Linked DNA regions of Pelodiscus sinensis. The protein of the gene in region 1 interacts with the protein of each later gene in a biochemical or structural test. Links are inferred from orthologs where the notes say so. Each region holds a gene or a part of one and is shown on either strand. Other genes may lie near its edges. The genes, in order: RASA1 and DOK1.

The links.
Region 2: the proteins of RASA1 (region 1) and DOK1 form a complex in vitro, tested with the Homo sapiens proteins (2 studies listed by BioGRID, with this or other methods). The link is inferred for Pelodiscus sinensis from reciprocal best matches to the Homo sapiens genes RASA1 and DOK1.

The regions. Positions count from the first base shown.
Region 1 is NC_134716.1:76,465,493-76,481,367, forward strand, and holds the start of RASA1 (ras GTPase-activating protein 1), read right to left. Parts: upstream 6,061-15,875; 5' UTR 5,960-6,060; coding exon 5,205-5,959; intron 1-5,204. UniProt on the Homo sapiens protein: Inhibitory regulator of the Ras-cyclic AMP pathway. Stimulates the GTPase of normal but not oncogenic Ras p21; this stimulation may be further increased in the presence of NCK1.
Region 2 is NW_027465889.1:330,427-346,903, reverse strand, and holds the start of DOK1 (docking protein 1), read left to right. Parts: upstream 1-9,222; 5' UTR 9,223-9,317; coding exon 9,318-9,380; intron 9,381-15,753; coding exon 15,754-16,050; intron 16,051-16,477. UniProt on the Homo sapiens protein: DOK proteins are enzymatically inert adaptor or scaffolding proteins. They provide a docking platform for the assembly of multimolecular signaling complexes. DOK1 appears to be a negative regulator of the insulin signaling pathway.

The DNA.
Region 1 (15,875 bases):
AGAAGTGGCTGGCATATTCCTACAGCCCCTACATGCAGAGGCAATCAGGGAAACTATGTGTGTGCTGTTTCTGAAGCACTCATTGGCTGGGAACCACAGCCAATGGGAGCTGCCCAGGTGGTACCTGTGGGGTGAGCAAAGTGCATCGCACAGAGCCACATGGTCGTGCCTTTGCCTAGGGGCCAGATTTGCCCTCTGCTTCCAGGATCCATGCAGAGCCAAGGCAGGGAGGGAACTTTCTGTGGCTGTGCTGCCAATTGGACCCAGAGCCCGCTGCACCAGGTTGGAAATTCCTCTCCCACCCCACCTCCTTTCCACAGCCCACACCTCCCTCACCCAGCCCTGGGCCTGCTCCTGCACCCCAAACCCTTTGGCTCCTACCTGGAGCTCCCTCCTACACCCAAACCCCTCCTTCCCAGTCTCACCCCAGAGTCTGTGATTGCCAGCTCACCCCACTGTGGGGGAAAGCCCCAAGCTTTTGCAACCCCTTGTAGGGCCTATGCTTTATTTTTTTTTTATGGGTCAATTGTCTCTGATAGAAAAAAGATTCCTGGCCCCTACTGTATGTACACCAGGCCTCAAAAGCTGCTGAAACTAACAAGCTGCCAAAAGTAAGATAAGAGAAACAACTCTAAGCCCTCTTTGGAAACTGATTAAAGCAATCTGACTTCTTAGCCATTGATGGACTTGTGGCTGGATACATCCAGAACTCTCTAGCAACAGCCTTCTACAGTGTAACCATATTCTAGGGAGGAAACTACACTACAAAAGTTTAAGAAACGTCCTAAATTGGAAGCAACAATTTAAATTATTCTTTGTGTAGACAAGTGATGTGCAACCTGTGGCCCACTGGGATTATATGGCCTGCGAGACATTTTGCTTACCATTGCTCACAAGCAGAGTTGCCAGCCTCTGCTGGTTTCCGTCTGCGTAGTTTTTCCCCCTACTGCTATTACTAAAGTGGCACACACGTAAAGAAAGTGCACATGAAGTGTGCTGATTGCACGCAACATTGACAGAGAGCTACTTGTTTGGATGCAGAGAGAGAGAAGTGCTGTCACAGTTCTATCAGCACACTCTGCAAATCCTAGGTTCTCAAGTACAGTTAGCAAAACTACCCTATCCAGGGAATCCATCTTCATTACAACAATCTTGTGGCCCACCGAGGTGAAAGCCCACTTGCTGGTCTAGATTGCTTATCACTGGTGTAGAGTTAGTTGTCTAAAATACATACTAAATACAATGGAAGAGATTACAATTTATATAGAAAATACAAGATAATATAAAAATCGAGACAAGTGCTCATGCTTTGGAGCATAAATCGATGTATTAATTAACAGGCCTAAGAAAGAATACCTGGTGAAAAACAGAGTCCTTTTCTCCCCAAGAGCCTGGGAGCGGGTGAGAAAAAGAGAAAATGCATGATACGCTGGGCTTCTCATCTACATGGCTAACGGAATTCATTCTCCAGCAATTGTATTCAGCTCTTGCTTATGCATTATATAGGGATAATCTTCAAAAATAACATTTAAAAAATACAGAACATATAATCTAATTATCTATTTATTTTTAGATCAATAATTGCATTCTTCTGCTGTTAAATAAATTTGCAGGTTTTTGGTTAAAGAACAATCATTTATCTGTTTACCACATCATTTTGCTAAAGAGAAGGAAGATAAACTTTACACACTAAAAAGAGATAAATTGCATTTATTCTATCTATTTCTATTGCTATGCAGAAAAAAAACCCCATATATGCCATTAAGACTATTTCCTGGAACTTGCATTGAATACTCCTGCATACATAAATATAATTACCAAAAAGGTGATTTTATGCCCTAATTTTTTTAGATGTATGGACACCAGTCATTCTTCTCCTGTAGAACTGCAGGTGTGTGCTCACTAGCTTTCTCTCTCTCTCCTTTCTAACCCTTGTTGCTGAGACAGACATAAGTGTTGGTAGATGTTACTTATCATTACACTTATTTGAAGAAACTTATACTTCACACTAAAATCAGATATAATAATGTTTCACTTCCACTTACATTTTTGTTTAATATTCCCCCACCTACTACAGTCTCTGGCTTTAGCTATTTTCTTCACTGTCTTTCGTCATTTAATATTCTGTCTCAACAGGTAACAAAAATGGTAGCAAAGCTTTATCAATTTGGGATATGTTTTGAACACATTACAGTACAACAAGCAATTTTACTTTATAAAGCTTCTGGCGCTCTGTTCAAATTCAACACAAGCATCTTATGAAAATCATCATTCATAGAAAGTAAAAATATCTTTGGCAAATACTGGAACTTCTGCTGCTGCCACTACCACCTTTAAAACAGTATTAAACTTAGAAGAATTTTGTCAGCTTAATAACTGCTATACCAGTACAAAACTGACCAAATATTTGTAAACTCAATTGTACTGCTACAGAAAGCTTCTTTACATGTTGGAGAAGGACGCCAGGAGGAGGTGGTGGCAGCAGCACCAGGGAAGTAGCCAGTTCTGCAGCAAAACGGTGAAAAACAACACTCACACTTGCTTTCTGAGAGTTTATCATACCATGAAATTGACCAAATTCTTGGGATTTAACTCATGCTACATCGACACCATTTACAGCAGCGCCAATTCCACTGTGCCACTATCACACTTGTGATGAAGATGTAAGTAGGAGCTGGTGCTTGCAGGGAGCCAGCTTTTAAGCCAGCTCTCCATAAGCACCTGCCTCTCACCTTCCTTCCCCTCCCCCCTGGGAAGGGGAGGCTTGAATGTAATGGTGAAGGTTTGCGTGTAATCACCCAGGCTCATTGGTTAACCATTTAAGTGCTTAAACTATCACAGCCCTAATTCAAACCCCTAACACAACCATTCCAAAAACAGTATGTTTTTACAGTAAAAAAGGCAATTTTGTCTAGCAGACAGGACACCAAACGGGATGTCAGAAATCTAGATTCCCTACCAGTGATTTACTGTGTGACCTTCGATAATTCACTCATCTTTCTGTGCCTCTATTTACCATCTCACCCTTTGTCTGCTCAATTTAGTTTTTTTTTAAATCGTTTTGTGACCAGGACTGTCTCACTATGTGCTTTTACAGTTCCTAGAACAATGAGATCCTGATGTTTAGGAACTGTTACAATAAAGTCATTAAATAGATACATACATATTTACATCCATCCATCACTGAAAAGACTGATAAAATTAAATTGTGTGAAAAATATGGTTTATATTAAACTCTACACCCTCCTTCTTATATAATAGTTATGCCTGTGTACTTATGCAAAAATCATCCTGAATCCTGGAAAAAGAAAGACACTAGAACTCATGAGGTTTAACTAGTAATAGCTCAGATATTAAAAGATGTCAAAAAAAAAACTGTCAAGACAACATTAGAACATTCTTGGATAAACATTACTAGCAACAATCTGTAATGTAAATTCATAGCTATTTTTACGCCTTATAGCCCTAATTTATCTGAAATATAAAACTTCATTTTAACTTAGTTAATGCTTGATTTCTAAATACCAACTTAAAACACAATTTTGTTTCTGGGACAATAATCAGACACACTTGAGTGCAATTTTCTTTCCTACCATAAACCTTGAAACTGTATTATGTAAACCCTTACACACCTTACTAGTGTTATTAGTGCATCTCAACTTCTCGTATCTATATTTATCAGTAATTGTACACACAAATGCTGCACAGCATCAGCTCTATAATATATATAAAATACAACAATTGTCCTGCATAACAGCTTTAAGTTTTCCTGTAATACTATCAACAAGGGAATGCTTATTAAGTTAATGGAAAGACAATCATAAAGAAACCTTACTGTAAAACACCTACCAATGCTTTGACTCAATTCCCATTAATTTTCACACAATCCAACTGAACACAAACACCTTTAAAATCAGCTGTACACCATGCTATTAAATTCATTGTTTATGGAAATTAAATAGCATTAAAATTATTGGGTAAGACATTTTATCAATTTTTTTAAAGTACAATCTATAAAATGTTATTCCACGCAGTACGCATATGAAAGCTTTAAGTTTCAGAAAGTCTAAAGACGGCTTAATTTTCCTACCAAGAATCATAAAAATCATATCTATATTTGACAATAGCTACTTACTATTATGTTTTGGAAGAGTATGAAAATGGATAACGATGTCAAAAATTGATAAAGTTTCCAAAGGGAAAATTTAATAATCTGAGCTTTCCACTCCTTTTGTGACACTATTTACCATGTGAAAATCCACAGTAGTAAGTACTGAAAACCCAAAAAACTAAATTAGATAGGTAGTGTTTAAGTCTGACTGTTTTCTCTAAATCCCTGAAGGATTTCTTTGTTCATTTTAAACATGGGACTATAAAAATAAAAGATTTTATGTTTTTATGGTTCTGTGGTACTTGGAGGAAATGGAAACTGCAAGGCACACAAGGGACCCTCGAAGAGTACACATACATACACCGATCAGTAATATATGACTCAGCAGTAGGTGACAGACAAGACACACACTAGCATCCAGTATTCCCTGTAAACCGAGCTCTTGGGGGGCAACACAGGAAAGATTCATGTGCCACCCAACTGATTAGCAGAGTACTCACAGCTGGCAGCATGTTTTTCTACTGGTGATGCACAACTGCACATAAAGTTTATTCTGCACACAGATGGAACACATTAGAGGGAATACTGCAGGCATTTAATGCTGCTTGGAGCCCAGTAGCGTTTCAAATTTTCCAGTGCCCTGGTTGTCTCTAAGCCTCGGATTGTCAAATACTGGGACTGGACAGAGGGGATGGATTGCTACAACTGTCCTATTCTCTTCATTCCCTCTTGAAGCATCTGACACTGGACCCGATATGGCCATTCTTATGTGCGTTAGTCCATGCAAGTCAAGCGCACGCTGTTGCAATTGGTGGCTCTGCTGTCCAGTCTGAGGATCCACCCCAGACGGAAACACAGACCAAGGAGCCCTCAGTGCCAATACTTCAGCACTTTCCATGCAAGCAACTGAGTCTATTTAAATGGGATCTCGGGGGCGGGGGCAAACCTTTCAGGGCCTGGCCGGAGTTTGACACACACTTTCCACCGGGCAAAGGGGAGGGACGGGAGCTAGAGTCGCCACCGAGCCGGCTGCCGCCCCCCACGGAGGGGCAGCAAAGCAGGGCGGCCGGGAGCAGAGGGGGCTGCTACTCACTGGTTAGTCGGGGGCGCGTTGAGCGGGATGGCCACCTCCTCCTCTTCGTACTCCGGCCCGTCCAGCGAGTCGCCTTCATCCACGGTGCCCAGCCCCCCGACCAGCGGCAGCGGCGGGGGCGGCAGCGGCGGGAAGCCCCCAGCGGGCGGCCCGCCTGTTGAGCCGGGTTCCTGCGGGGCAAGCGCCCCCCGAGGCATCTCCTGCCCCTGCCCGGCGGCCACTGCGGCGCCTCCGCCCGCCGGAGGGGCAGGCCCCAGGACCAGGAGTCCCAGCGCCGGGCACAAAGGGGGGCCGCTGCCGCCCGGGCTGCCCCCGCCGGAGCCCTGCGGCCCCTTGCCCCGGCACAGGGCAGGGCAGTGCCCCGGCTCCCCGGCGGCGCTCGCCGAGCCGCCCTCCTCGCCTCCGGCCTCGGCCGCCATCATGGTGAGCCTCGCCCCCTCCGCACGCCGGGGAGGAGGCGACCGAGGGGCCGAGACCCCCCGCCCCGCCCCAGCGGGGAGCGGAGCCGGGACCGGGACGAGCGAACTTCCCCGGCGGCGGCCGCGAACAATACCCGGCTGGGCGGGGGCTGGATTCAGGGCAGCGCGGCAGGGCCCCGGAGCGGCTGCCTCATCGCCCTGCGGCCGGGAGGGGAGCGGCTCCCGCGGAGACTCACCCCGCCCGCCCGCAGCGAGCGCAGCTTCGGCACGGGCAGGGGCCAGGCTGGGCTGGGGGAGGCAGGGGAACTGGCGAGCGGCTCCCGCCACAGTGCGCATGCGCCCGGGGACCGCCCGCCGCGAGGAGGGGGTTGGCTGAGCCCGCGCGCGCTCCCGCGGTTCCTGCCGCCGGCTCTGACTCAGGGAGCGGCCGGGCTCAGAGCTGGGTTCACCTGGAGCTTTGCAAGGGCCGCGCGTGGGTGGGAAAGGAAGAGCTGAAGCTACCAAGAATATGAGCACAGGGGCGGGTTGCAGTGTCAAAGAAGAGAGCAAGCCCAGCGCACCGCCCACACCCTGACTGTTCCCAACCCACCAATTTACAGTGCCTAAATAAAGAACGTTTGGCGCCAGGCCGATTGCATCTCACACCGGTACTGCGATCTTTCCCCCCAACCCCCTCGCCATAGCACTTCAGAACAACTGGCTGGGGTCCTGTTGGATTCACTTGCCAGATGTATGTTTTTGCAGCGCCTTTGCACTAGCATACCCTGCGATCCCGATTAGTCTCTTGAACTAAGAAAAGCTGCAGATGCATCAAGCAAAACTGGGGGCATTCAAACCATAAACAGATGTAGCCCAAATCCTGAAATCCAGGGAGAGGTTTTTTTGTACTGCTTTTTTTGTTCTAGGACGTGGGGTACAGATTTTGTTAGATTGTGTTGTTTGATCTATTTTATTTGTGAACTAGTAGAATCAACACACTTGTCTTGTTTTGATGGTATTCTGAGTTTGTGGGTTAAATTTAACTGAACCTGATAGGAATCAGGAATCTTTTTTTCTAATGCTTTTAAAGCAGGGGAGGAGCACTGCACTTTCCATTTCTATGCTGTTATGTCCACACTTGTGCCTCTGACCCACACTCAGTACTTACCAGAAGTACTTACAAGTGACCTGGCTTGGTGATGCAGAACCTATTATCCAGAGAAAATAACTTACATTTCTTACAGATACTGACTCATATGGCTTATAGACTTTAAGGTCAGAAGGGACCATTATGATAATCTAGTCTGACCCCCTGCACAGTGCAGGCCACAGAATCTCACCCACCCCTCTTAGAATAATCCTCTCACCTATGTCTCAAATATTGAAGCCTTCAAATACTTTGAAGGCCCCAATATGCAGAGAATCCTCCAGCTGTGATCTGTGCCCCATGCTACAGAGGAAGGCGAAAAACCTCCAGGGTCTCTGCCAATCTACCCTGGAGGAAAATTCCTTCCCGACCCCAAATATGGCGATCAGCTAAACCCTGAGCATGTGGGCAAGACTCACCAGCCAGACACCCAGAAAGTTCTCTATAGTAACTTATCATAGTGTCATATTACAATCCTTCCCCTTGGGGGCCTGAGCTCAGGACAGGGGATGGTGGTGGTACCACACCACCTGTAGGAAATGTAAGTGTGGGATGGAGTGCAGGAGGCTCAGGTCAGAGGGTTGACATGTGGGAGGTGCAGGAGTCATAGTTGGGGTGAATGAGGGGCTCAGGGCACAAGATTAGGGAATGGAAGTGCAGAAATCAGGGCAGAAAGCTGGCAGGGAGGGAGGTTCGGTGCAGGGGCTGGGATGTGTGTGTGTGTAGGCTCAGTGATGAGGCAGTCCCCACTGGTGACTGTGCACTATGCTGCTCCTGTTCCCAGCCAAATTGGAGCAGTGTTGGGCATCGGAAGGAGATAAGGCTGAGTAGAGTGCTGAAGCTCCCCTGGGATCCTGGCCCAGCACCTGGAGTCCAGGCCACTTGGTGTGTCTCCCCCTACCACTGGTCCTGTCACCCTCACCAGGGGATTTCCAGGCCGCTGGCCCTGCACCCCTCTCACTAGGGGCACTCTAGCCACCGGCCCTGCTGCCAAGCAGCTCTCTGATCTCTGCTGTCCCCCTCCTGGGGGCTCTTCTGGCTTCTAGCCCCAGGGTCCCTGCTGCCAGCTTCAACTTTGGGTGTGGGGGGGAGGGGAGAAAAGGATTAAGGCCCAACCCTCCGCTCAACACTTTCTTACTGGCACGCTGCACTAGAGCACATCTGCTTACTTTCACCTCTGCCTACTATATGTGTACATAGGTTTGGTGGATGGGGATCCAAAGTCATATACCTAAGCTAATGCAGTGCTTGTTGTGCACCAATATGAGAAGAGGGAGTGAGGTTCGAACTCACAAGCCAGCCTCACTTAACATTGGAAATGATCTTTTTTTTTTAATGAAATGTAATTTGTTTTGTAAACCTATCCATATGTGAAAGTATATCTCTTGCTGCTAAAGATTTACCTCTTGTTATTGAAAGCCCTCCAGCGGTAGGTAAGTGATAGCGGAAGCAGGTATAGGATACAACTGGAACCATCTAGCCACAAACATGCACATAGATGGCCTCGATGTGATGATCATCTGTCTGCTGAAAAGGAACAGCAGCAGCTCCCATACCCTGCCTAGGTGACAAAGCAACCCTATTTAGGGACAGAGCTGCTTTCTTCAAAAGAAGAGGGGGAGAGAAAACAATTCCTAACCACAGCTTGTTCCAGTGGATTCCTGTCGGTTAGCCAGGACCGAATGATATCCAATTTTGCAATCACAGGAGAAAATCAATGACTAAACAGACACTACACTTTGCCTCATGGAATATATGCATACTTCTTGACAGTGATGATCACCATGAACACAGGACAGCAATCATTGGTAGAGAGCTTGTACATTATAACATCGATGTCACAGCCTTAAGCAAAATACATCTTGTATCAGCCAGTTCACAGAGGTTGAAAAGATTCCTCAGTGAGCTAATGATTCACAGCTGGTTATACCTCCAACTCTTGATGAGGTACAGAAAGCTGTCAAGCAGATGAAATCTGGAAAAGCACCCGGCAGTGATGTGCTCCCATCAGAGATTTATAAAGCTGGTAGAGGCCTGCTGATGCCATCTCACCCATTTATTTATCACTATTTGGCAGAAAGAGCAAGGCCCCCAGGACTTCAAAGATGCCTTGATTGTACAAATATACAAGAGAAAAGGTGACCGTGCCTGCTGTGATATCCTCCAGGGCATCTCACTGCTGTCTATAGATGTTATGATCCTGGCCCGCATCCTCTACAACCATCTGTCATTACATGTGTTCACAAATGGCATTATTCCTGAAAGTCAGTGTGGATATTGTGCCAGTCAAGGCACTGCCAACATGATATTCACAGTCAAGCAGATCTAAGAAGACAGCAACATCATAATCTCTTAGTGATTTTCATTTACCTGACCAAGGCGTTTGACATGGCCAACACAAATGGATTTTGAAAGGTACTTGGGCAAATTGGCTGTCCTGAAAAATTTGTCAGTATAATTTGGTCCTTTTATGATGTTATGCTGGGTCATATCCTTAATAATGGATAGACATCAGCACCTTTTGAAATATAACATGGCACAAAGCAAGGATCTTGCTCCTCTCCTTCCCAGCTCCTCTCCTTCCCAGCATCCTTGCTCCTCTCCTTCCCAGCATCTACTTTTTGATTATGCTATTAGTTGCTTTCAAGGATTGCACGTTGGGCATACCTATGCAGTTCCTAACTGACAGAAGCATGTTCAGCTTTGAAAGACTTCAGGCACCAAAGATACCAAAGTGTTCAATTCAACTATCTGTGACCTTCTTTCTGATGACTGTGGATTGTTGGCTCATCCAGTGGAGAACTCACAGGAGATTTTGATCCTTTTGTTACTTCTGCTCACCATTTTGGACTCACTGTGAGACTCCAAAAGATTGAGATTATGTCTCAGTGTCTCTTCAGAAAGAGCCCAGCCCTCCTACGATCACTGCTGCTGATACTGTCCTTAGGTTGTTGACAAGTTTTGTTAGCCTGGAAGCATACCATTCTCCAGCATTAATGCTGCTGCTGATGTATCTGTTCAACTAGCCAAAACCAGCGCTGCCTTCAGAAGATTGACCAACTGATTATGGAATGGCCATGGTGTTAAAATTCATACAAAGGTAACAGTTTATCAGGCAGTTGTCCTGAACTTCCTGATGTATGGCTCAGAGTCATAGATCATACATAGCTATCACATTTTGAAACTTGATCAATTTCTTATGCGCAGTTTCAGGAAGATTGTCCATGTGAATTGGTGGGACGAAATTCCTAACACAGAGGTCCTTAAGCTGTGTGGTGCCATGGGCTGCATTGCTGAGGTTATGAGGATGGATGATACATACATACCAAAAATAATCTTCTACGGCCAGCTTGTTCACGGAAAGTGCTCTATTGGTGGTCAATATAAGCATTATAAAGGCCAACATGAAGTCATGTGGCATATCTCCCAATGACCTAGAAATCATAGCTCAGGAAGATTGTTCTGGTAGCAAACTATTGTACAGGGTCTCAAACACTTCGAGAATCAATGTATCCAGACATTACAAGAAAAGTGTAGGATCCAAAAAGAGTGTATAATGCCCTCAGATGGTGGATTTTTATGTGACATCTGTAATCGTATTTGCTAATTGAGGATTGGCTTGATCACTCACCAGCAACATCATAGATTGCCCATGTGAATTGGTCGATCAACGTCTCAGTCCATGCATGTGCTCCATTGAGAAATCTACCCTTGCTAATTCACCTATCTTTTTTATGGCATAAAGATATGCAGATGAAATAGCAGTAAAACATAATGTACAGAACCCAGATACAATATATTTGTTTGGCTATTATGACATAAACAGTGCAATGTTTTTAGAGTTGCATGAACTCCTTTTCTTGTTAGTAATAATTTATTCCTATGTACCTTTATGAAAATATATCCTTTTCTATTATTATTATTATTATCTTGACTCAAGCATTTATTCCTGTTCTTAACAACATGGCTATTAGTTGTTTCACTGACTTCTATGAGACTAGTCATCTACACTCAGTTAAGCACATATGTTGAACAGGATCTTTGTGTTTAACAATGCCAGGCAAATAACCTTTTGACTTGCAAAATTAAAATAGCTGACAACTACTAGCACTTTTGTCTCTCTGTTTCTACTTTTTCTCTAGGCTGTTATGTCTTTGTACACTCCCTTGTTTATGTTGGTATATCTCAAATGTTCTCAGAAGGCATTTAAATATTTAGGTTTTCAAAGCTTTGTCGTCCCTAGAAGCATTACATTTCAGAGGGGTAGCTGAGTGAGTCTGTAACAGGAAAAAACTTAAAAACAACAAAAAGTCTAGTAGCACTTTAAAGACTGAAAAAAACATGGAGATGGTATCGTGAGCTTTAAGGTGCTACTAGACTTTCAGAAGTAGTAAGTTAATTTTTCCAGAGGCCACCAAAACAAACATATGTTCATACTCCTACTTCTAGTTTTTTAGAATTTTCATACCTTTCCTTCTGTATGCTCTGAGTTTTACCACTAAAATCAATGGTGTTACTCTGGATTGGCACCAGCATCAATGAAAACAGAATTTGTCCTTAGTTAAAAGGATTATAGCACATTTATACGCTGCTGTTTGTTGTATTTGAAAAAGTGCAGCCTTGATGGCAATATTTTACACATCTGATTTCCAGACATGATTCATTATTAAACATGTAATTCCAGATACTCCTGCAGCTGACTGTCTGTGTGAACTTCTGTTTACTGTTTATTTTTCCTCACAGATTTTCAAATACAATTATTTTAATGCCTTGTTGTTGCCTTTGTAGGAGAGATAAGCACATTAATGCAACAAAAATATATACAGGATTCCCTTCTTTGAGACAACCATTTCTAATACCGTAGAACTATATAAGGCCAGAGTTGCACATACTGGTGTACAGGAGCTGCAATGGCAACTGAGCAGAGGAGAGAGCAGCTACATCCCTCCTTCATGGGTTTTGTGTGGGGAAGACAGCTATGTATTCTGACCAGGGCTTCACAAGAGATGAGATGCTGTCTGTGAGATTTGTTAATACATGCGTCTCAGAGACTGCCAATTCTGCCCTCTCCCAGGCTAAGGATGTAAAATATCGACTCATTGACTAATCGAATACTCGATGCATTTTGCATCGACTGTTCGATTAGTCGATAGAGCTCCCCACGGTGTTCCAAAGCAGTGGCACCTCATGGAGCCCGGGATCAGCTGGGGACTCCACATGGTGCTGCCTCTTTGAAATGCCACAAGAAACTGGATGCCTGGGGACACCCCAGCTGGCCCCGTGCTGCACACAGTGTTTCAAAGCGGCAGCGCCACATAGAGCCTGGGGTCTGGCCCCAGGCTTCAAGCGGTGCTGCCACTTTCAAGTACCCCTTTCTCTTCCCTCCTTGCTGTCTCTTTCTGATAGAGGCAGCAAGATGGGGGGAGGAGGGACCGACTAGTCAACTATGCTGTCGACTATCTGATAAGCATTTGCTTATTTGATAGTCGATTAGTCCTTCGCATCCCTATAGCAGGCCAGACCTAAATGTTTGGTAGGTTGTGCTAATTGTTCCATCTCCTTTGACAAAACAGGGATTGAAGCTGGCTTGCACCACTGTGCTGCTGTTTCAGGTGGATTTTCCACTGCAGGTTGAACCTCTCGTCCTGTACTCTCAGGACCTCACTGATGCTGAACCACAGGATTTGCTGAATCCTGGCTGTTTAATATTGTCTAGCAGCATTACCAACACTTCCACTGCTTACTGGACTTTTAGCAGATAGTTAGGGGTAAATTAGAGCTAAATAACAGCACAGAACATGGAGAGCCAGGCCTGGTGGCTGTAAACAAACTTTATGGGACTGCAGGAAACTTGGCCAAACCCATATTAAGTAGATATGCAGCTAATTATAGACCAGAGAATGCCGGACTAGAGAGGTTCAACCTATACTTTTATCTTGATTCCATTACATAAATTTTCACAGGGACAAGGACAGGAATCATCTATATTAAATATATCTGGACCAAAAAAGAAGTGGTGCTTGTTGCCAGCCTGATGTTTACAAAAAAATGCTTTTTTACTTAATAATCTGGACAAAATTATATTAGGACTATTCAGCCCCCTCTCCTTGTATTGTCATGGATGATGAACATTAGATTAATTGATGAGTGAGACCAGCTATGGGGTCAGTTTCTTGTAGCTTTTGCATTATTTTTCAACAGTGTGGGGGAGGAGGAGGAAATGCTGTAGACTAAATATATAGGCGTTTTTGTCCAGGAATGTCTAGTGCATTCAGTGTATTCTAAACTTGGTCATACTGTAATTTCACAACACAGCAGAAATTAGATAAAGTATAAATTTGCTATCATTCCAGTTTCAATATGTTTTACCTATGTCTACTCATTTCCAACATGTTTTAGTTGTATTTGGTCAATCTTTGGGGCAGAGCAAAACATTTTCATACTGAACATGATGAATGTTTTATATTTGCCATATAAAATATATTTAGCAAAGTAATGAATGCTCCCATTACTGGCCTCCATTATGAATCTTTTTAATTACTACTTCAGGTAACAAAATTGTGATTATGCAAAATTAATGAAACAGCTTTATATTATTGTATATATAATACCAATAGTATGTTAAGCTCTTTACAGACAGAAAGAAAATAGTGTCCCTACTGCACAGAGTTTCCAGTCTAAAGGTACGTCTTGTAGAATGAAATCCACAGATAAATTTCAGTGTCTTTAGGGAACTCCATTGAATTAAATTGTCCAGTCTGACAACATTTCCAGAGACTGTAGTTTATATAGGCTTCTTATACGGTAATAATATAGTATTTGGGGATGATATATGAAGAATAGAGAAGAGTAATAGCATGCCCTGTAGAACATGCTATGAGTTTTAATTCTGGTTCTGTCACTGACTGATACGACCTTGGGTAAGTCACTTAACCCATTTCAGTTTCTACAGTTATACACAAGAATAAGATTACCTTTCTATTTTACAGTGCTGTTGGGAGGATTATTTAAATCACGCAATATCAAAGGTGGCTAAGTATTGTTACTATTCTGATAGATTATACAGCCAGAAAGGAACATTATGATAATCTAATCTGATTTTCAACATAACAGAGGCCATAGAACTTCCCTGAATGAATTCCTGTTTGAACTAAAGTATGTCTGAGAAAAATATTCAGTCTTTATTTAAAAGTACCAGAGATGTAGACACCATCAGAAGTCTTGGGAAATGGTTCCCAATAGTTAATTACTTTCAGTACTACTATTTTGCACCTTATTTCTGGTCTGAATTTTTCCAGTTTCTGTTTCCAGCCATTTGGTCTTGTTATACCTTTATCTGTTAAACTGAAGAGCTAATTGTAAGATTTTTGTTCCCCATGTAGATCTTTCTAAACTGTGATTTTTATTATTTCATAATAATATGAAAAGCACTGGGAGGTGAAAAACTCAGTATTTGATTCAGATGTTATTTCTTAAGATGTTACCTAATATTTGGATCCCTAAATGTAAGCATTCCCATTCAGTCACAGGGAGTTCTACTCCTCTGTTTAACAGCCTCAAAACTCCTTTCCTATCTCAGAGCCTGCAGCACCCCTACATTTCCAATGTTATTGTTCACTCTCAAGTTTCTCTCAGACCCACAGAACACCCAGAAGGATAGCAAGAGAATTTTCAAACCACTGCAGGGCTGTGACGTCCATGCATTAGTGACTACAGGCGATCCCCAATTTACGACCTCCCACAATAACAACCATTTTTTCATGCAAGATAGCTCCTAAACCTCCCAATTTACATCTGCAGCTCGCATTTATGATGCTGTATGACGCAGTCGCCACGCATCATCCCAAAACAGAAAATGCACAAGGTCAATCAGACTCACCAGTCTGCAGCTGCTGCTTGAACTGTGTGCATCTCTGCCACATCGGTCTTCACTTTTTAGTTATTTTTATACATTATTTGAACTATTTAGTTTTCCTCCATTTCCACAGGTAATTTTTTTATTTTTAGGGTATGAAATTGGTTTCCAGGAACAGAACCACCATTTATAACATTGCGCCTATGGGAAATATGGGTTCAAGTTATGACGGCTTGGCTTACGATGGTTCTCTAGGAACCAATTAGGTTGTAAGTGTGGGGGTCACCTGTATTTCTCTGGTATTCACACAGAAACCAAGTTAGGAAAGAGAAAGTCACTTTCCTAATGCATGAACTTCACAATTTTGCTAATCCAAACAAGAAATGTGGGACTCTAAACCTCTCTTTTAGGGACTTGCACGATACATATCAAACAAAGCCTTCTCCCCAAGGACATACTGAAATCTCATTTTAACATACAATCTTGGCTGGCTAGTTCTCTGAGTCTGAAATCTCTAGGTTAATTATTCAGGATGGAGAATTCTTATAAATATTCCATACTTAACTTCATAGGGCCCAGGATCTAATACAATGTATCATTTTTTTCCATTTACATGGAAACATCATTTGTGACTTTTCTGAAACATCCCATTCATGACTTGGTTGACATTCCTCCTGCTACAGTCCTTAATTATTCATCTTGACAGATTTTTGTTCAAAGCTTACCTGGCTAAAGTTTCTTTAAGAACTATCTTTGCTAGATGTAGGATTTCTGTGACTTATTATTTAAACCAGGGATGGGGAACCTTTTTTGGATCGGGGTTGCTGACCCACAGAAAAATCACTTGGGGGATGCACACAAGTGAAAAGCAAAAACAAATAAATAAACAAACAGCCCCTCACTGAAGCAGTCCCCACTTAGAAAAATACTTCCCACATATCCCTTGCACACCACAGCTTAGGGGATGCCAGCCTACTAAATTTTGTGTGCTTCCAGTCCCATGGTGAAAGTATGGGGGCGTTGGAGTGCCAGTGCAGGCTCCCCAGTGCTGGGGGAGGGTCCTGAGCCTCGGGGGCTGCATCCAAGCAAAGCACGGGACCGCATCCAGCCCCAAGGTTCTTCACCTCTGAAAAACCATGTTCGTATCTTAACAATATAACCAACCTGATTTAGAAAGAGGAATTATTTGTCTTAGGTTTATTTTTATCTTCTCCATTTGAATGTGAAATATTTATAGTACTGTACATTTAAGGACATTTAATCAGTCTCCA
Region 2 (16,477 bases), on another chromosome or scaffold:
AAGGTTCCAGAGGTGATGCCAGAAAGCACAGGCGGGCAAGCCTGACTTCACGCATGGACACATGGCCAAACACCAGGGCTACGTCTAGACTGGCTTGATTTTCCGCAAATGCTTTTAATGGAAAAGTTTTTCCGTTAAAAGCATTTGCGAAAAAGAGCATCTAGATTGGCACGGACGCTTTTGCACACTTTTGCAGAAAAGCGTCCGTGCCAATCTAGACACGGTTTTGCACAAGAAAGCCCTGATCGCCATTTTCACCATCGGGGCTTTTTTGCGCAAAACACTTTTCAGCTGTCTACACTGGCCCTCTTGCACAAATACATTTGCGCAAAAGGGCTTTTTCCCCGAACGGGAGCAGCATAGTATTTGCGCAAGAACACTGACAATCTTACATTAGATCATCAGTGTTCTTGAGCAAATTCAAGCGGCTATTGTAGACAGCTGGCAAGTTTTTCCGCAAAAGCAAGTGCTTTTGCGGAAAAACTTGCCAGTCTAGACACAGCCCATCTGTTGGGGGACCAGCATGACAGTCCCCCCAGGCGGTAGCAAATGACCATGACTACCAATAGGCATAGCTTGAAGACACTTTGGATAAAATAGCTCAAGGAATCGATCAAGTTTAATGTGGCAGTCTGCTGTAGATCCTATTTTGGCGCTTGTATCATTCTTACATGCAAAGTTAGAGCTAAGGGGTATAGAATTGCTTATGGTTTTAAATGTGAAAATGAAAGCCATCCAGGGTGTTTCCAACACCTCAGCGACAACGTAACGACCTGAGAATGTCCTTCTTTGGCCTTTAAGTCTAAGTTGGGGTGGGCAATAATTTTTGATGGGGGGGGCACTTCACAAATTTTTGAAGTGGCCCCAGGCTGCCATGGAGGGGTGGGGCTTTGGACAGAAGAGGCGGAGCCAGGACACTTTCTTGCTCCCCTACCCACAGACCCTGAGTGGCTCAGGGTGGGGGAGCATGTGAAGTCTTTGCTCCCCCCCCCACCGAAGAGAATTGCCAGCTGTTCTGGTGGTCCTGATTGGCCTCGGGGCGGGGGAGTGGCAGGGTGCCTGTGGGCCAGATCAATCCGCTTGGCAGGCTGGATCTCGCCCATGGAAACTCTCTTACCCACCCCTAGTCTAAGCAGTGGTTGGTCGCAGGAAGACAGGGTCTGACCAGGTCATTTTCTATGGAAGGGGGAGCAAGGATAGCAGGTTCCCACCCAAAGTGTAACCTACAAGACAAAGGGAAGCTATCTGTCCCTGTGTCTTTGGCTGGCACGACACATCCAAACGGAGCCAGAGACCCCATGGAGAAAAATCTTCCCTGGCTTGGAGGCTTGCCCGAAATAGGAAGTTTTAGAGTTAGTTTGTACTTTGCTGTAAGAGCTACAGATGTGCCAATGGAGTGGAGTGGAGACCTGCTCCGAGGTCATTGATTTTAGTCTTTCCCTAGTTTCGCCCCAGCCCCATTTACTCTGATGCTCACTGTGTGAATTGTCTGATCCCTGCTAGCCTGCGGAGTGAAAATGGAAGCCAACAAAGGAATTTAACTGGCTGCACTTTCTGCTATGGCCCTAGGCTTTCCTTGGTCTTCCTCACAGAGCCGCTGGCCGGCCGGGGCCAACAGAGTCAGCTAGGTTAGCTCTGGCCACGCTGCAGGGTTTGCTGTCTGACCCATCCAGGACAGATAGCTCCTGCCTCCTCGAGCACAGCCTCCCACGGAACCGCTCCACTCTCCCGCCGTTCTCACTGGCGAACCTCGGCCTCTTATCCAGTCCTGTGCGCAGTCCTCCGCCAGGTCCCCTCATCTCCTCCCTTCCAAATTAAACCCACTCGGAGCCTCCAGGCTTTGCTCATATGGCTGCGCTCTGTCTCTGATCACAGCGCGTGTGTGTGCAGGGCACTACCGGCGCTGTGCGCGTGTGTGAGCGCACGGCGGGCGCCGTGCCCCCGTACGGCGCTAGGGGGCGCTGTGCTGCACAGAGCAGGGCTGGCCCAGTGCCCCCGTGCGGCGCTAGGGGGCGCTGTGCTGCACACAGCAGGGCTGGCCCAGTGCCCCCGTGCGGCGCTAGGGGGCGCTGTGCTGCACACAGCAGGGCTGGCCCAATGGCCCCGTGCGGTGCTAGGGGGCGCTGTGCTGCACACAGCAGGGCTGGCCCAGTGCCCCCGTGCGGCGCTAGGGGGCGCTGTGCTGCACAGAGCAGGGCTGGCCCAATGGCCCCGTGCGGCGCTAGGGGGCGCTGTGCTGCACACAGCAGGGCTGGCCCAGTGCCCCCGTGCGGCGCTAGGGGGCGCTGTGCTGCACACAGCAGGGCTGGCCCAGTGCCCCCGTGCGGCGCTAGGGGGCGCTGTGCTGCACACAGCAGGGCGGGCGCCGTGCCCCCGTGCGGTGCTAGGGGGCGTTGTGCTGCACACAGCAGGGCTGGCCCAGTGCCCCCGTGCGGCGCTAGGGGGCGCTGTGCTGCACACAGCAGGGCTTGCCCAGTGCTCCCGTGCGGCGCTAGGGGGCACTGTGCTGCACACAGCAGGGCGGGCGCCGTGCCCCCGTGCGGTGCTAGGGGGCGCTGTGCTGCACACAGCAGGGCTGGCCCAGTGCCCCCGTGCGGCGCTAGGGGGCGCTGTGCTGCACACAGCAGGGCTGGCCCAGTGCCCCCGTGCGGCGCTAGGGGGCGCTGTGCTGCACACAGCAGGGCTGGCCCAGTGCCCCCGTGCGGCGCTAGGGGGCGCTGTGCTGCACACAGCAGGGCTGGCCCAGTGCTCCCATACGGCGCTAGGGGGCGCTGTGCTGCACACAGCAGGGCGGGCGCCGTGCCCCCGTGCGGCGCTAGGGGGCGCTGTGCTGCACACAGCAGGGCTGGCCCAGTGCCCCCGTGCGGCGCTAGGGGGCGCTGTGCTGCACACAGCAGGGCGGGCGCCGTGCTCCCATACGGCGCTAGGGGGCGCTGTGCTGCACACAGCAGGGCGGGCACCGCCCCTACAGCCAGGGCTGACCCCGTGCCCCACAATGGGTGGGTGTCTGGCACTTTGGCTGCTACCTGGGGCTCTGGGGGGGTGGGAAGGAGGCTCAGGGCTGGGTCTGCAGCTACAAGAGCAGCCCACAGACACCCAGGCAGGAACCACTTGTCTGCCACGCTGCACAACCTGGGTGCTGCACTTCGTGCCTGAGGGCTCGCAGCTGCTCGACAGTCTCCGTCCCCTGGGTGCTGCACTAGCACCCGCCTCCCGGCTGCAAGAGGGAGGGAGCAAGGAGACGCTGCCTTAGCATGAGAGAGCCCAAGCATCCGTCCTGACAGTCCAGGCCATGTTCCTGCAGCAGCCAGGGGCTGGTCCCGGCGATGCTGCATCCTCGGTGGGTCCATCCTGGGACCCTGCATCCCCTGCCAGGTGGGCGGGGGAGGAGAGGGGAGGGGAGGGGCGCGCTGATAAACTCCGACATGCAGCGCCACCTCGTGGCTGCACAGCATATTGCAGTTCAGCACTCCCTGGGGACTGGGCTGATTGCTACTGGGCTACATGGGACCCGCTAGACCTCAGGAGGCCAGGCCTCCATTGAGGGGAGCTGGGGGGGAGGGGTATCTCTGCTTGGCCTGAGGGCACCATCAGAGAGCCCTGGTGTGGGGAGCGAGCTGACAAGGGGTACAAGGAGTAGCCCAGCCTGCCCCTAGGGAGGGCTGCTATTGGCTTGCACAAGGCTTTTGTGAGTTACTGAGGCAGGGCCCTGCAGAGCGACCACTGGCCGAGGGGGAGTGACAGGAGACAGGGCTGGGGGCGGGAGTGGGGGTGTGCCTCCCCCAGTGCTACCTTCACTGACGGCCCATGCCTGGCCATGCCCCCCACTCCTGGTCTGTGCTCATCAGGGCCATCCCTACAGGGGTGCAGTGCAGTGCCGGGACAACCCCCCTTCCCATTCCTGCTTTGCCCCATTCCACTCCCTGCCCCAGGGCCCTTCCCTGGGCAATGCAGCCTGGGGGACTAGCTGGGGTCAGGCCAGCCCCCATACTCAGCAGCCGGTGGCAGCCTGGCCCTACAGCAAGTGTTCTGGGGGGTGGGGCTATATCTGGCGGCGATGCCCATGGCTCCCTAACTAGGGGGTGGGAGATGGCGCACACATTCCAATTTTAGCACCAGGCCGCCTTGCCACAGGCAGCATCTGCAGGAAGGGAGGTTTCTCCATGGTGCAGGCAGTGCTTGTGGATCGCCCTGGGGTTTCACAGGCATCAGTGCATGGCACCCGCATCTCCAGGAGCACCAGAAAGCTGCCAGCAGGGACTTTCTTTCCAGAGCACGGGATTACAAGGGGGCTGTGGAAATGCCTCGGGAATCATGGGTGGCCCAGCTTCTCCCTTACCAGGCAGCTGGGTAGCGGTGAGCAGCACTGGAGCAACAAGCCGAGCAGGGGCTGGTGGGGGTGGAATGAGGCAGGCTAGACCTTGCTGAGGGTAATGCCCCCGGGATCTAGCCTCGTGCTGTGCATTGCACACTGCCTGGGAGTCCCTAAGGGTGAGATGGCTGCAGTATTTGAGCAGCCAGATGCAGGGAGAGGGTTGCTATTAACAGCAGGAGGCTTTGAGGAAGCACTTGGCCATTAAGGTGCACTAACGTATTTCTTGGGAAGTTGCTTCCTTGATGCATCCCATGTAACAGGGGCAATGGGGGCAGGGGCAGGTGGGGCATGAGATGGAGGCAGGCAGAGCGTGGGATGGGGCGATGGGAGCAGGGGCAGGAAGGGAATGGGATGGAGGCAGGGGCAGGCGGGGAGCAGAATGAAGGCGATGGGGGCAGGACCAGGTGGGGCACGGGATGGGGGCAGTGGTAGGCAGAGCATGGAATGGGGGCGATGGGTGCAGGGGCAGGATGGGCACGGGATGGGGCGATGGGGGCAGGAGCAGGCGGGGCGCGGGATGGGGCAGTGGTAGGCAGAGCATGGGATGGGGATGATGGGGGCAGGAGCAGGCGGGGCGTGGGATGGGGGCAGGAGCAGGCGGGGCGCGGAATGGAGGCGATGGGGCCAGGAGCAGGTGGGGCGCGGGATGGGGGCAGTGGTAGGCAGAGCATGGTATGGGGGTGATGGGGGCAGGGGCAGGAGGGGCACGGGATGGGGGCAGTGGTAGGCAGAGCGTGGGATGAGGGTGATGGGGGCAGGGGTAGGTGGGGCGCGAAATGGAGGCTATGGGGGCAGGGGCAGGAGGGGCGCGGGATGGGGGCGATGGGGACAGGGGCAGGAGGGGCGCGGGATAGGGGCGATGGGGGCAGGGGCAGGAGGGGCGCGGGATAGGGGCGATGGGGACAGGGGCAGGAGGGGCGCGGGATGGGGGCGATGGGGGCAGGGGCAGGAGGGGCGCGGGATGGGGGCGATGGGGTCAGGGGCAGGAGGGGCGCGGGATGGGGGCGATGGGGACAGGGGCAGGAGGGGCGCGGGATGGGGGTGATGGGGACAGGGGCAGGAGGGGCGCGGGATGGGGGCGATGGGGTCGGGGCAGGAGGGGCGCGGGATGGGGGCGATGGGGTCAGGGGCAGGAGGGGCGCGGGATGGGGGCGATGGGGTCAGGGGCAGGAGGGGCGCGGGATGGGGGTGATGGGGACAGGGGCAGGAGGGGCGCGGGATGGGGGCGATGGGGTCAGGGGCAGGAGGGGCGCGGGATGGGGGCGATGGGGGCAGGGGCAGGAGGGGCGCGGGATGGGGGCGATGGGGGCAGGGGCAGGAGGGGCGCGGGATGGGGGTGATGGGGACAGGGGCAGGAGGGGCGCGGGATGGCGGCGATTTGGACAGGGGCAGGAGGGGCGCGGGATGGGGGCGATGGGGACAGGGGCAGGAGGGGCGCGGGATGGGGGTGATGGGGACAGGGGCAGGAGGGGCGCGGGATGGCGGCGATGGGGGCAGGGGCAGGAGGGGCGCGGGATGGGGGTGATGGGGACAGGGGCAGGAGGGGCGCGGGATGGGGGTGATGGGGACAGGGGCAGGAGGGGCGCGGGATGGGGGCGATGGGGACAGGGGCAGGAGGGGCGCGGGATGGGGGCGATGGGGGCAGGGGCAGGAGGGGCGCAGGATAGGGGCGATGGGGGCAGGGGCAGGAGGGGCGCGGGATAGGGGCGATGGGGGCAGGGGCAGGGGCAGGAGGGGCGCGGGATGGGGGCAGGGGCAGGGGCAGGGGCAGGGGCAGGAGGGGCGCGGGATGGCGGCGATGGGGACACGGGCAGGCGGGGCAAGAAAACGCTTCCACAGCCTGTGCCTGGGACCGAAATGAAAGCTGTGTGAACGTGGGACGCCAATGGAAACTCGTTACCGTTTTTCAATCTTGCCTCATTGATCAAGCCCCGGACAGTGACGCGCTCCCAAGCCCACAGCTGCTGGCAAGGGAGGCCTGGGAAGGGTGAAACCTCACAACTGTGTGTAGATGGAAGCGTCATGGTCAGAGTTCTGGGAGGGGTGAAGTGAAGGGAGGCTGAGGGCCCCAGAGGGTGAACAGGAAGGTGTTGGTCTGCAGTGGGGCTGGCTGGATGACGAATTGTACATGTGTTGCCGTGGTCAGCCCCAGATCTGCTCAGGCTGCAGCTCGATTAAAGACTTGAGCATCTTTGCCTGCTCTGCCCCGACTTGTCTGGTCTGTGGTGTCCCGAGCAAATGCTGAGAGAGTCACCTGACGTGAATCGCTCAGAACTGGGGCTACTCAGAGCCCAAGATTGGGGGTCGTCCGTTATAAGGCCCCCCACCCATCACACCGAGCACTTCTGTCTGCCACCCTGGCCAGCAAGAAGTCACACAAGTGTCTCAGGCAGGCGTCTCAGTAGTGACAGATGGCAGAACAAGGAGCAATGGTCTCAAGTTGTGGTGGGAGAGGTCCAGATTGGATATTAGGAAAACCTATTTCACTAGGAGGGTAGTGAAGCACTGGAATGGGTTCCCTAGGGAAGTAGTGGAGTCTCCATCCCTAGAGGTGTTTAAGTCTCGACTTGACAAAGCCCTGGCCGGGTTGATTTAGTTGGGATTGGTCCTGCCTAGAGCGGAGGGCTGGACTTGACGACCTTCTGAGGTCTCTTCCAGTTCTATGATTCTATGATAAGGGGATGGTTGGATGAAATAACATGATCTTGGTAACTAATTGACCATTCATTATAGGGAACTTTCTGGGTGTCTGGCTGGTGAGTCTTGCCCACATGCTCAGGGTTTAGCTGATCGCCATATTTGGGGTCGGGAAGGAATTTTCCTCCAGGGTAGATTGGCAGAGGCCCTGGAGGTTTTTCGCCTTCCTCTGTAGCATTGGGCACAGATCACAGCTGAAGGACTCTCTGCATGTTGGGGCCTTCAAAGTATTTGAAGGCTTCAATATCTGAGACATAGGTGAGAGGATTATTCTAAGAGGGGTGGGCGAGATTCTGTGGCCTGCACTGTGCAGGGGGTCAGACTAGATGATCGTAATGGTCCCTTCTGACCTTAAAGTCTATGAGTCTATGAGTCTATGAGTGAGGCGGTCACCTTGGCCAGCGCATTCAGGGCCCCGCGCTGCCCAGCTCCCAGCACACAGCTGGCTGGGAGCCCTGTGGCTCAGCGTGCTGCCTTGGGCCCCGCACACTCTTTGTCCCGGCCTGCGCGCTGGTCTGTAACTGACAAAACTTAAAACACCACTGGTACTGGAGAGCCTTCGGCTATGTCTGCACTACCGAGTTCCTGCCCCAAAACGGCCAGTCCCAGGCCAATTTCTACCTTGGCCCGTACCCAAAGAGCCCGCTGGGCCTGCCTTCTACAATTTAAAGGGTCATTAATAAAAGGAAAGGCTCAGAGTCGAGATTGTTAAAGCAGGGGTGGTTCCCAGCCTCTCTGATGCCGGCTCCAGCCAACCCATTCATAAACTCTTGGGGAGAGAGGTGAGCTTTGGAGCCACTGCCCTGCAGCCCGCGCTGTGTAGCTTGAACACTTGTCTCTCCTTGGGCCAATAAAACAGACTGGCCTGAGCACTGGTCTCTTCTACAGAACTAGCCCATCTAAGCAGGTAGGTTCCTCAGCAAGGGAGATCAGACCCCCACCTCACTGAGACAGAGGCCAGACTTCAGCACAGTGGAAACTCGGCAGCTCCCTGCCCTAACTGGTGTGAGCATGGCTCCCAAAGGGAAAACAGGACACCATGGTGGCCTGATCCTCCCAACCCCATCCCAGGCTGGGGTCGCTGGGACTCTGCCTGCCCCCCCCCCCACGAGGCTGGGGTCGCTGGGACCCTGCCTGCCCCCCCCCACGAGGCTGGGGTCGCTGGGACCCTGCCTGCCCCCCCCCCACGAGGCTGGGGTCGCTGGGACCCTGCCTGCCCCCCCCCACGAGGCTGGGGTCGCTGGGACCCTGCCTGCCCCCCCCCCCACGAGGCTGGGGTCGCTGGGACCCTGCCTGCCCCCCCACACGAGGCTGGGGTCGCTGGGACCCTGCCTGCCCCCCCACACGGGGACCCCAGGTCCTAAGACCCTGCCTGCCCCCCCCACGAGGCTGGGGTCGCTGGGACCCTGCCTGCCCCCCCCCACGAGGCTGGGGTCGCTGGGACCCTGCTTGCCCCCCCCCCACGAGGCTGGGGTCGCTGGGACCCTGCCTGCCCCCCCCACGAGGCTGGGGTCGCTGGGACCCTGCCTGCCCCCCCCCCCCCCACGAGGCTGGGGTCGCTGGGACCCTGCCTGCCCCCCCACACGAGGCTGGGGTCGCTGGGACCCTGCCTGCCCCCCCACACGGGGACCCCAGGTCCTAAGACCCTGCCTGCCCCCCACACGAGGCTGGGGTCGCTGGGACCCTGCCTGCCCCCCACATGGGGACCCCAGGTCCTAAGACCCTGCCTGAGCCTTGTGTCTTTGCCCCCCAGAGACGGCCATGGCCCTGCCCCCCACGGCGCCGCGCTGGTGCCCTGTTTTCTCTCGCCAGCTGATCACCTGGCCGAGCAAATGGGACAAACGCCCCGTCGTGAGAAAACCAGCCCGTAGCGCCAGGCTGAGCAGGGCCCGCCCCGGGCACAGCGGCCTTTCTGCGGGCGAGCAAAGCGGGCGGGGGTCGGAAGGACGCTCCCGCCCCCCGGGAGCGCAACTTAAGCCCCTGCTGAGCCCGGAGCGGGGCGGGGCCTGCAGGCGCTTGGGCTTGGCTGCGGGCTCGCAGCGCTCCGATGCCAGGGTGATGGGCCGCCCCGCCGGCAGCCCGGGACAGCGAGCAGCCCCCGCCCCGCCCCCCCCATCCCGGCCCCGCCCCCTTCCGTTCGCCCCGCCCCGCCCCGCCGTCACACCCCGGCCCGTGGGCTGCCCCGCCCCAGGCCAGGCAGCGCAGCAGGAAGCGGCGGCCGGAGGGTGCCGGGCCGGGCCGCCCGATGGACCCCGCGGCCAAGGAGGGGCGGCTCTACGTGCAGCAGGGCCACAAGTTCGGGGCCAAGGTCGGCGGGCGCGGGGGCCGGGATCGGGGCCGGGGCGGGTCCGACCCTCCGCCCCCGGGCGCCCCCTTTGCAGCTGGCTCCGGAGCCCGCGTCTTTGGGGTCCGCCCCCCTCCCTGGGATCAGGAGCCCGGCTCTCACCCCTAGGCTGCCCCCCCCCCGCAGCTGGCACAACCCCCCCCTCCGGGAACAGGACCCAGGAGTCCGGCTCTCACCCCTAGGCTGCCCCCCCCCCCCGCAGCTGGCACAACCCCCCCCTCCGGGAACAGGACCCAGGAGTCCGGCTCTAACCCCTAGGCTGCCCCACCCCGCAGCTGGCATAACCCCCCCGCCCCCCCGGGAACAGGACCCAGGAGTCCGGCTCTAACCCCTAGGCTGCCCCACCCCGCAGCTGGCACAACCCCCCGCCCTCCCGGGAACAGGACCCAGGAGTCCGGCTCTAACCCCTAGGCTGCCCCACCCCGCAGCTGGCACAACCCCCCCCCCCCCCCCGGGAACAGGACCCAGGAGTCCGGCTCTAACCCCTAGGCTGCCCCACCCCGCAGCTGGCACAACCCCCCGCCCTCCCAGGAACAGGACCCAGGAGTCCGGCTCTAACCCCTAGGCTGCCCCACCCCGCAGCTGGCACAACCCCCCGCCCTCCCGGGAACAGGACCCAGGAGTCCGGCTCTAACCCCTAGGCTGCCCCCCCCCCCCCCGCAGCTGGCACAACCCCCCGCCCCTCCGGGAACAGGACCCAGGAGTCCGGCTCTAACCCCTAGGCTGCCCCCCCCTGCAGCTGGCACAACCCCCCGGGAACAGGACCCAGGAGTCCGGCTCTAACCCCTAGGCTGCCCCCCCCTGCAGCTGGCACAACCCCCCGGGAACAGGACCCAGGAGTCCGGCTCTAACCCCTAGGCTGCCCCCCCCCCCCCGCAGCTGGCACAACCCCCCCCCCCGGGAACAGGACCCAGGAGTCCGGCTCTAATCCCTAGGCTGCCCCCCCCCCCCCCCCGCAGCTGGCACAACCCCCCCTGAGAACAGGACCCAGGAGTCCGGCTCTATCCCCTAGGCTGCCCCCCCCCCCCCCCGCAGCTGGCACAACCCCCCGGGAACAGGACCCAGGAGTCCGGCTCTAACCCCTAGGCTGCCCCACCCGCAGCTGGCACAACCCCCCGCCCCCCCGGGAACAGGACCCAGGAGTCCGGCTCTAACCCCTAGGCTGCCCCCCCCCCGCAGCTGGCACAACCCCCCCGCCCCGCCCGGAACATGACCCAGGAGTCCGGCTCTAACCCCTAGGCTGCCCCCCCCCCCCGCAGCTGGCACAACCCCCCCGCCCCGCCCGGAACAGGACCCAGGAGTCCGGCTCTAACCCCTAGGCTGCCCCCCCCCCCCCCCCGCAGCTGGCACAACCCCCCCGCCCCGCCCGGAACAGGACCCAGGAGTCCGGCTCTAACCCCTAGGCTGCCCCCCCCCCCCCCCCGCAGCTGGCACAACCCCCCCGCCCCGCCCGGAACGGGGCCCCGGAGTCCAGCTCTAACCCCCCTAGTTTACCCCCCGGCTGCTGGCACAATGTCCTCCATTATGGCTGCTGGTTCCCCCCCAGCCCTGGACCAGCCTTCCCATCCAGCGGGAGCATGGGGTGGGTCTCTGGGCAGTATATTGCCTGCTGCCCATGTGCTCCCTGCTCTCCTTCTTGGCAGCTGCTGCCCTTCCCAGTGGGGAGCGGAGGCCTCCTGAGGTCCATGCCACGCCCTACAGGAGCAGCTTCTGGGGGGTCCGGCTTCTTTGTGGGGCTGAGCTGTGCTGGGATCTGCTGGCGGGGACCTGGCACTGCCCTGCCCTAGCCAGGCCCTTGGGGAGGGCAGGGCCTGCTGGTGTTGGGGATGGATATTGAGGGCTGCCCCAGAGAGGAGAGAGGCTTTTGCTCCCTCTTCTCAGGGTCACTGGGGGAGCTGTGGCTCTGGTAATGCCTTGGCCCATGGCAGCATGTGGCCCCAGACACCTGCCTCTGTGCCCCCTGCGAGTCCAGCCCTGGGGCTGCTGCCCTGCCTGCCCCCAGGAGAGAGCGGGGAAAGTGCCCATCAGCCAGCGGCAGGGCCCAGCACAGGGCAGGGTCTGGGCTACCTGGCGAGTACATGTCCCTGGCCCATCCCTCACTGGGCAGCGCTGCTCCCCTGCTGGCTTAGCCAAGAGCCCGTGACCCCTGGAGCTGAGTCTGCTTGGGGGATGGTCCCCCTGGGTGTCCCCATGGCTCTGGTGCAGCGGGAGGACTGCCCACCCTGGTAGTGGTGCCAGGCTGAGCCCGTGTGAGACGCCCCGGCACTGAGCTGGGCTCGCGGAGCTGCAGAGGCCACACCAGGGGCAGGAGGAAATCGCCTCCTGGCCTGGATGGCAGGGGGCAGCCGCGGTTGGACCTGGCAGCTCCTCCTCTCTGCTGTTTCCTGTAACCCTGTTGGCGCGGCTGCCAGCCCGAGGGGAGGCTGCTTGTCTGCTGTGCGGGGGCTCTGGGGCGCGCGTTGGATGAGCTGAGCCGCCAGGCAGGGGGTACCTGCCTGCAGCCGCGGGGCTGAGTGTTCTGTGTGACTGCACCATGGCACTGGGGAGGCTGTCACAGGGAATCCCCCAGGCGGAGTGGAGGGGCAGGGGAGAACAGCCTGACCCCAAACGGCCAGCAACTGCGTGGGCTCTGGCCCCCCTGGAAGCACGAAGGGAACCAAAGCAGGTAACTCAGATTGGGCCAGTTCTCAGACGGGCTGGGGTAGCTCTGTCCCGACACGTGGCCAGTTATGCCAGCTCAGGCCTTGTCTCTGCCCCCGCGCTCTGGGTCGCGTAGCCCCGGGCAGGGCTGCCCGTGCTGGCCAAGGGGCGCTGGGGCTGGTGAATGGGCAGTGCGCTTGAGGAGCACTCAAGGGAGGAGCTGGAGATCCTCCAACTGGAGCCACTCTCGTTTGGGGACAAGTCTGAGGAGCTGTCCCAGCGTGAGGTTTGGGAGCAGCTCAGTACATTAAACAGGAACCAGTTGCCTGCACCTGAAGCTACACGCCCGACAGTGCTGGAGGGCCCAGGTGTGAAAGGGCAGGACTAAAGCTGCGCTTTGTAGCCCCCTTTGAATGGGCGACGTCCGTTTTCGAGGGCTCCAGGGACGCTCTGGGCAGTTGCAGAAAAACACAAGTGGTCTGGTGGCGCTTTAGAGACTCACAAAACATCGCTGGGATCATGAGCTTTCGTGGGCGCCGCCCACGCCCTCAGATGCCGAGTTCTGAGTCAGCCAGCGCCAGCGCGAGGCGTGGAGCTGCGGTTAAGCAGGGAATTAGGACGCAGGTAGCGTGCAGAGCCAGCCTGGCTACTGCACGGCAAGGTGGGTCTCACCAGCCCACCGGGATTCTCTGAGGGAGTCAGCGAGCGTGAGCCAGGGCAGCCCCCCCCCCCCCCGGCTCTTTAAGGAACGTGGAGGGCCCTGGGGAGGGGGAAGGCCTCTCGCAACCAGGGACTGGTGGGAACAAAAGTGCCGTGGGTGGGTGTCCCCCTGCCAGGAGCGGGCACTGACCGGAACTGGGTCACTCCACCGTTGCCTGTTCGCTCCTGAAGCATCCGGCCATGGTCAGAGGCAAGAGGGTGGGGGGCCCACTGCTCTGATCCAGCACTGCATAGTCGTGTCGCGATCCATGTCTGCTAACCCAGAGCTCTCCCCTTTTGCCCTGGGCCGCAGGGAGCAAGGGTCAGGAGGCCCTGCTGGTTTGTGCCCTATAAGCGCAGGCCCCCTGGGAGCAAAGGGGGCAGGTTGGAGCAATGGGGAATCCCCATAGCAGGTTCTGCCTGTGATACCCCTGCCTGTTGCAGGGGCCACTGTAGGGACTGTTGGCTCAAGTACCCCAATTCCTGGGGCAGGGCCTGTCTGAGGCAGCAGGAACAGGCGCATGAGCCCCAGAGCCTGTGGGGTGGCCAGACACAGCAGCCTGGGGTGCAACTGGCTCCCCATCGCCATGCCCGGACTGTGCAGGACCTGCCCAGCACCCGAGCCGCTTCTCCCTCCCCAGGCTGGGCAGCTGCAGCTGTGACCAGCTGCATGGTGCGGGTGGGGGCTCTGGCTTGCCTGGGTTTAATCTCCCCTGCCCCTCCCCCAGCCCTCTAGCTTGGTGCCTGGTGATTTGGGGAAGTTTGGTATTAATACAGGAAGCAAGTGAGGACACAGACACTTCCTCTTCCTGTCCTGAGAGTCAGCAGCAGGGATCGCTGAGGAAGCAGGGGAGGGGGCAGGAGGAAGGGCACATGTGGGGCATAGTGAGCTGCACATACCCGGAGACCCTGCCCGCATGGGAGGGGGAAAGGGAGCTTCTGAGCAGCCAGAGTTGTGGGGCACAGGCTGCTGGGCACGTATCCCTCCTTGCCCCAGGGCGGGGTTGGCTTCTCTGAGGTCACTTAGATCAGGGTGGCCCCTCGGCTCTGCCATCAACAAGGACAAATGCAGAGTCCTGCACTTGGGACGGAAGAATCCCAAGCATTGGTACAGGCTGGGGGCCAACCAGTTAAGTGGTAGTTCTGTAGAAAAGGGCCTGGGGGTTACAGTGGATGAGAAGCTAGATATGAGTCAACAGTGTGTCCTTGTAGCCAAGAAGGCTAATGGCATATTAGGGTCCATTAGGAGGAGCATTGCCAGCAGATCTAGAGAAGTGATTATTCCCCTTTATTCAGCTTTGGTGAGGCCACATCTGGAGTATTGTGTCCAGTTCTGCGCCCCCACTACAAAAAGGATGTGGGCGCAATGGAGAGGGTCCAGCGGAGGACAACCAAAATGATGAGGGGGCTGGAGCATATGACCTATGAGGAGAGGCTGAGAGAGTTGGGTCTGTTTAGTCTGCAGAAGCGAAGAGTGAGGGGGGATTTGAGAGCAGCCTTCAACTTCCTGAAGGGAGGTTCCAAAGAGGATGGAGAGAGGCTGTTCTCAGTGGTGACAGATGGCAGAACAAGGAGCAATGGGCTCAAGTTGTGGTGGGAGAGGTTCAGGTTGGATATTAGGAAAAACTCTTTCCCTAGGAGGGTGGTGAAGCACTGGAATGGGTTCCCTAGGGAAGCAGTGGAGTCTCCATCCCTAGAGGTGTTTAAGTCTCGGCTTGACAAAGCCCTGGCTGGGTTGATTTAGTTGGGATTGGTCCTGCCTAGCGCAGGGGGCTGGACTTGATGACTCCTGAGGTCTCTTCCAGCTCTATGGTTCTAGGATTCTATGATCCTCCTGGAGCCTGCTGGGCTAGGCAAGGAGCGAGTCCAAGGAGCCAGGGTGTGTGGCATCCTGGGGGGAGATCTGTGGGCTGATGACTTGCATGGCCCTCGCCTCTGAGCAGGCTGGGCACATGGGGGTGGGCAGAGCTGCAAAGGGCGAGCTGGATCCTGCAGGCCCAGCCCCAGCTGAGCCTCCCCAGACTGCGCTCCAGTTCATGCTGCACCAGCTGGCTTGGACCTCACTGACCATGGGCAGGCAGTGCAGGCCTGGGCCCCAGTGTCACTGCCTGCCCCTGCCCCCCTCCCATGCCCCGCCAGCCCCCATCTGCCCCTCCCCCCATTGCCCGTGCCCCACCTGCCCCTGTCAGCCCAGTCTGACTCTTGTGCTTTTGCTTGGTCTGTCTCTGAAAAAGCCTCCCCAGAGCTGAGGCCTCTGGCTCCTGCTCGGCTGGTCCGTGGCTGGCTGGGGACCGGCTGGTGGGGCCAAGGAAACGCTGCTGCCCGTGGGCCTACAGCTCCTGGCAGCCGGGCCGAGCGAGTCTGAGCACTCGGCTCTGTCTCTGGCGGAGCAGAGACTGAACCCTGCCGGGCTCCACAGGGGCTGCTTGTGCGGGGCCCTCCCCGTGGCCCGAGTGCCGGAAGGGAAGGGGGGCGCTACCCGGGCAGGGGCTCACAGACCCTTGGGGCTGGCCGGGAGTGGAGGCCGCTGTGCTGACCCTGCGGGGCTCTCCCCGTGGCCCGAGTGCCGGAAGGGAAGGGGGGCGCTACCCGGGCAGGGGCTCACAGACCCTTGGGGCTGGCCGGGAGTGGAGGCCGCTGTGCTGACCCTGCGGGGCTCTCCCCGTGGCCCGAGTGCCGGAAGGGAAGGGGGGCGCTACCTGGGCAGGGGCTCACAGACCCTTGGGGCTGGCCGGGAGTGGAGGCCGCTGTGCTGACCCTGCGGGGCTCTCCCCGTGGCCCGAGTGCCGGAAGGGAAGGGGGGCGCTACCCGGGCAGGGGCTCACAGACCCTTGGGGCTGGCCGGGAGTGGAGGCCGCTGTGCTGACCCTGCGGGGCTCTCCCCGTGGCCCGAGTGCCGGAAGGGAAGGGGGGCGCTACCCGGGCAGGGGCTCACAGACCCTTGGGGCTGGCCGGGAGTGAAGGCCGCTGTGCTGACCCTGCCGGGCTGCCCTTGCAGAGATGGAAGAAGAACTGGTTTGTGCTGTACCCGGCCAGCCAGCATGGGGTCGCCCGCCTGGAGTTCTATGACTGCAAGGACCCCGGCGCCCCGGCCGAGAAGCTCAGCACCCGGCGGCTGGACAAGAAGATCATCCGGCTGGCGGACTGCGTCAGCGTGGCGCCCGTGCCAGAGGCCGGCCCCAAGGACAGCACGGCCGTCTTCCGCCTGGAGACCAGCGACCGCAGCTTCCTGTTTGCCGCCGAGAGGGAGCAGAGCGCCGAGTGGGTGGACAAGTTGTGTGAAATCGCCTTTTCGGTGAGTGCCACGGGCGAGGGGCTGGGCCTTCCCCCCCGCCTCCCGTCCGCACAGCCAGGCTGGCGAGGGCTCACGGCCCCAGTGACCCCTGCTGGGACAGCCCTGTGTGCGAGGGCTCTGCCCCTCCAATCCGCCTTGCTCACCCCTCAGGACTGTAGGCCATGCCGGGGACGCCACAGCTCCCCCCAGGACTGTGCTGCTGCTGGCCAGCGTGGCACCAGGGCTGTTGTGGGTGGGGCTACAGGAGACCTAGTGCCTCGGGGTGGGGCTGGTCCCCTCGCCCCCCGCTCTCCTGGTGGGGAGGGAGCCTGCAGCCCTCTGGAGTGCGGGTCCCTGGGGAGCCCCACGTGCCAGGCAGCATGATGCTTCCTCTCTGCATGGCAGGGCAGTGCCAGCCAGACGCCTGTTGCATGGAGGTTTGGGCCCA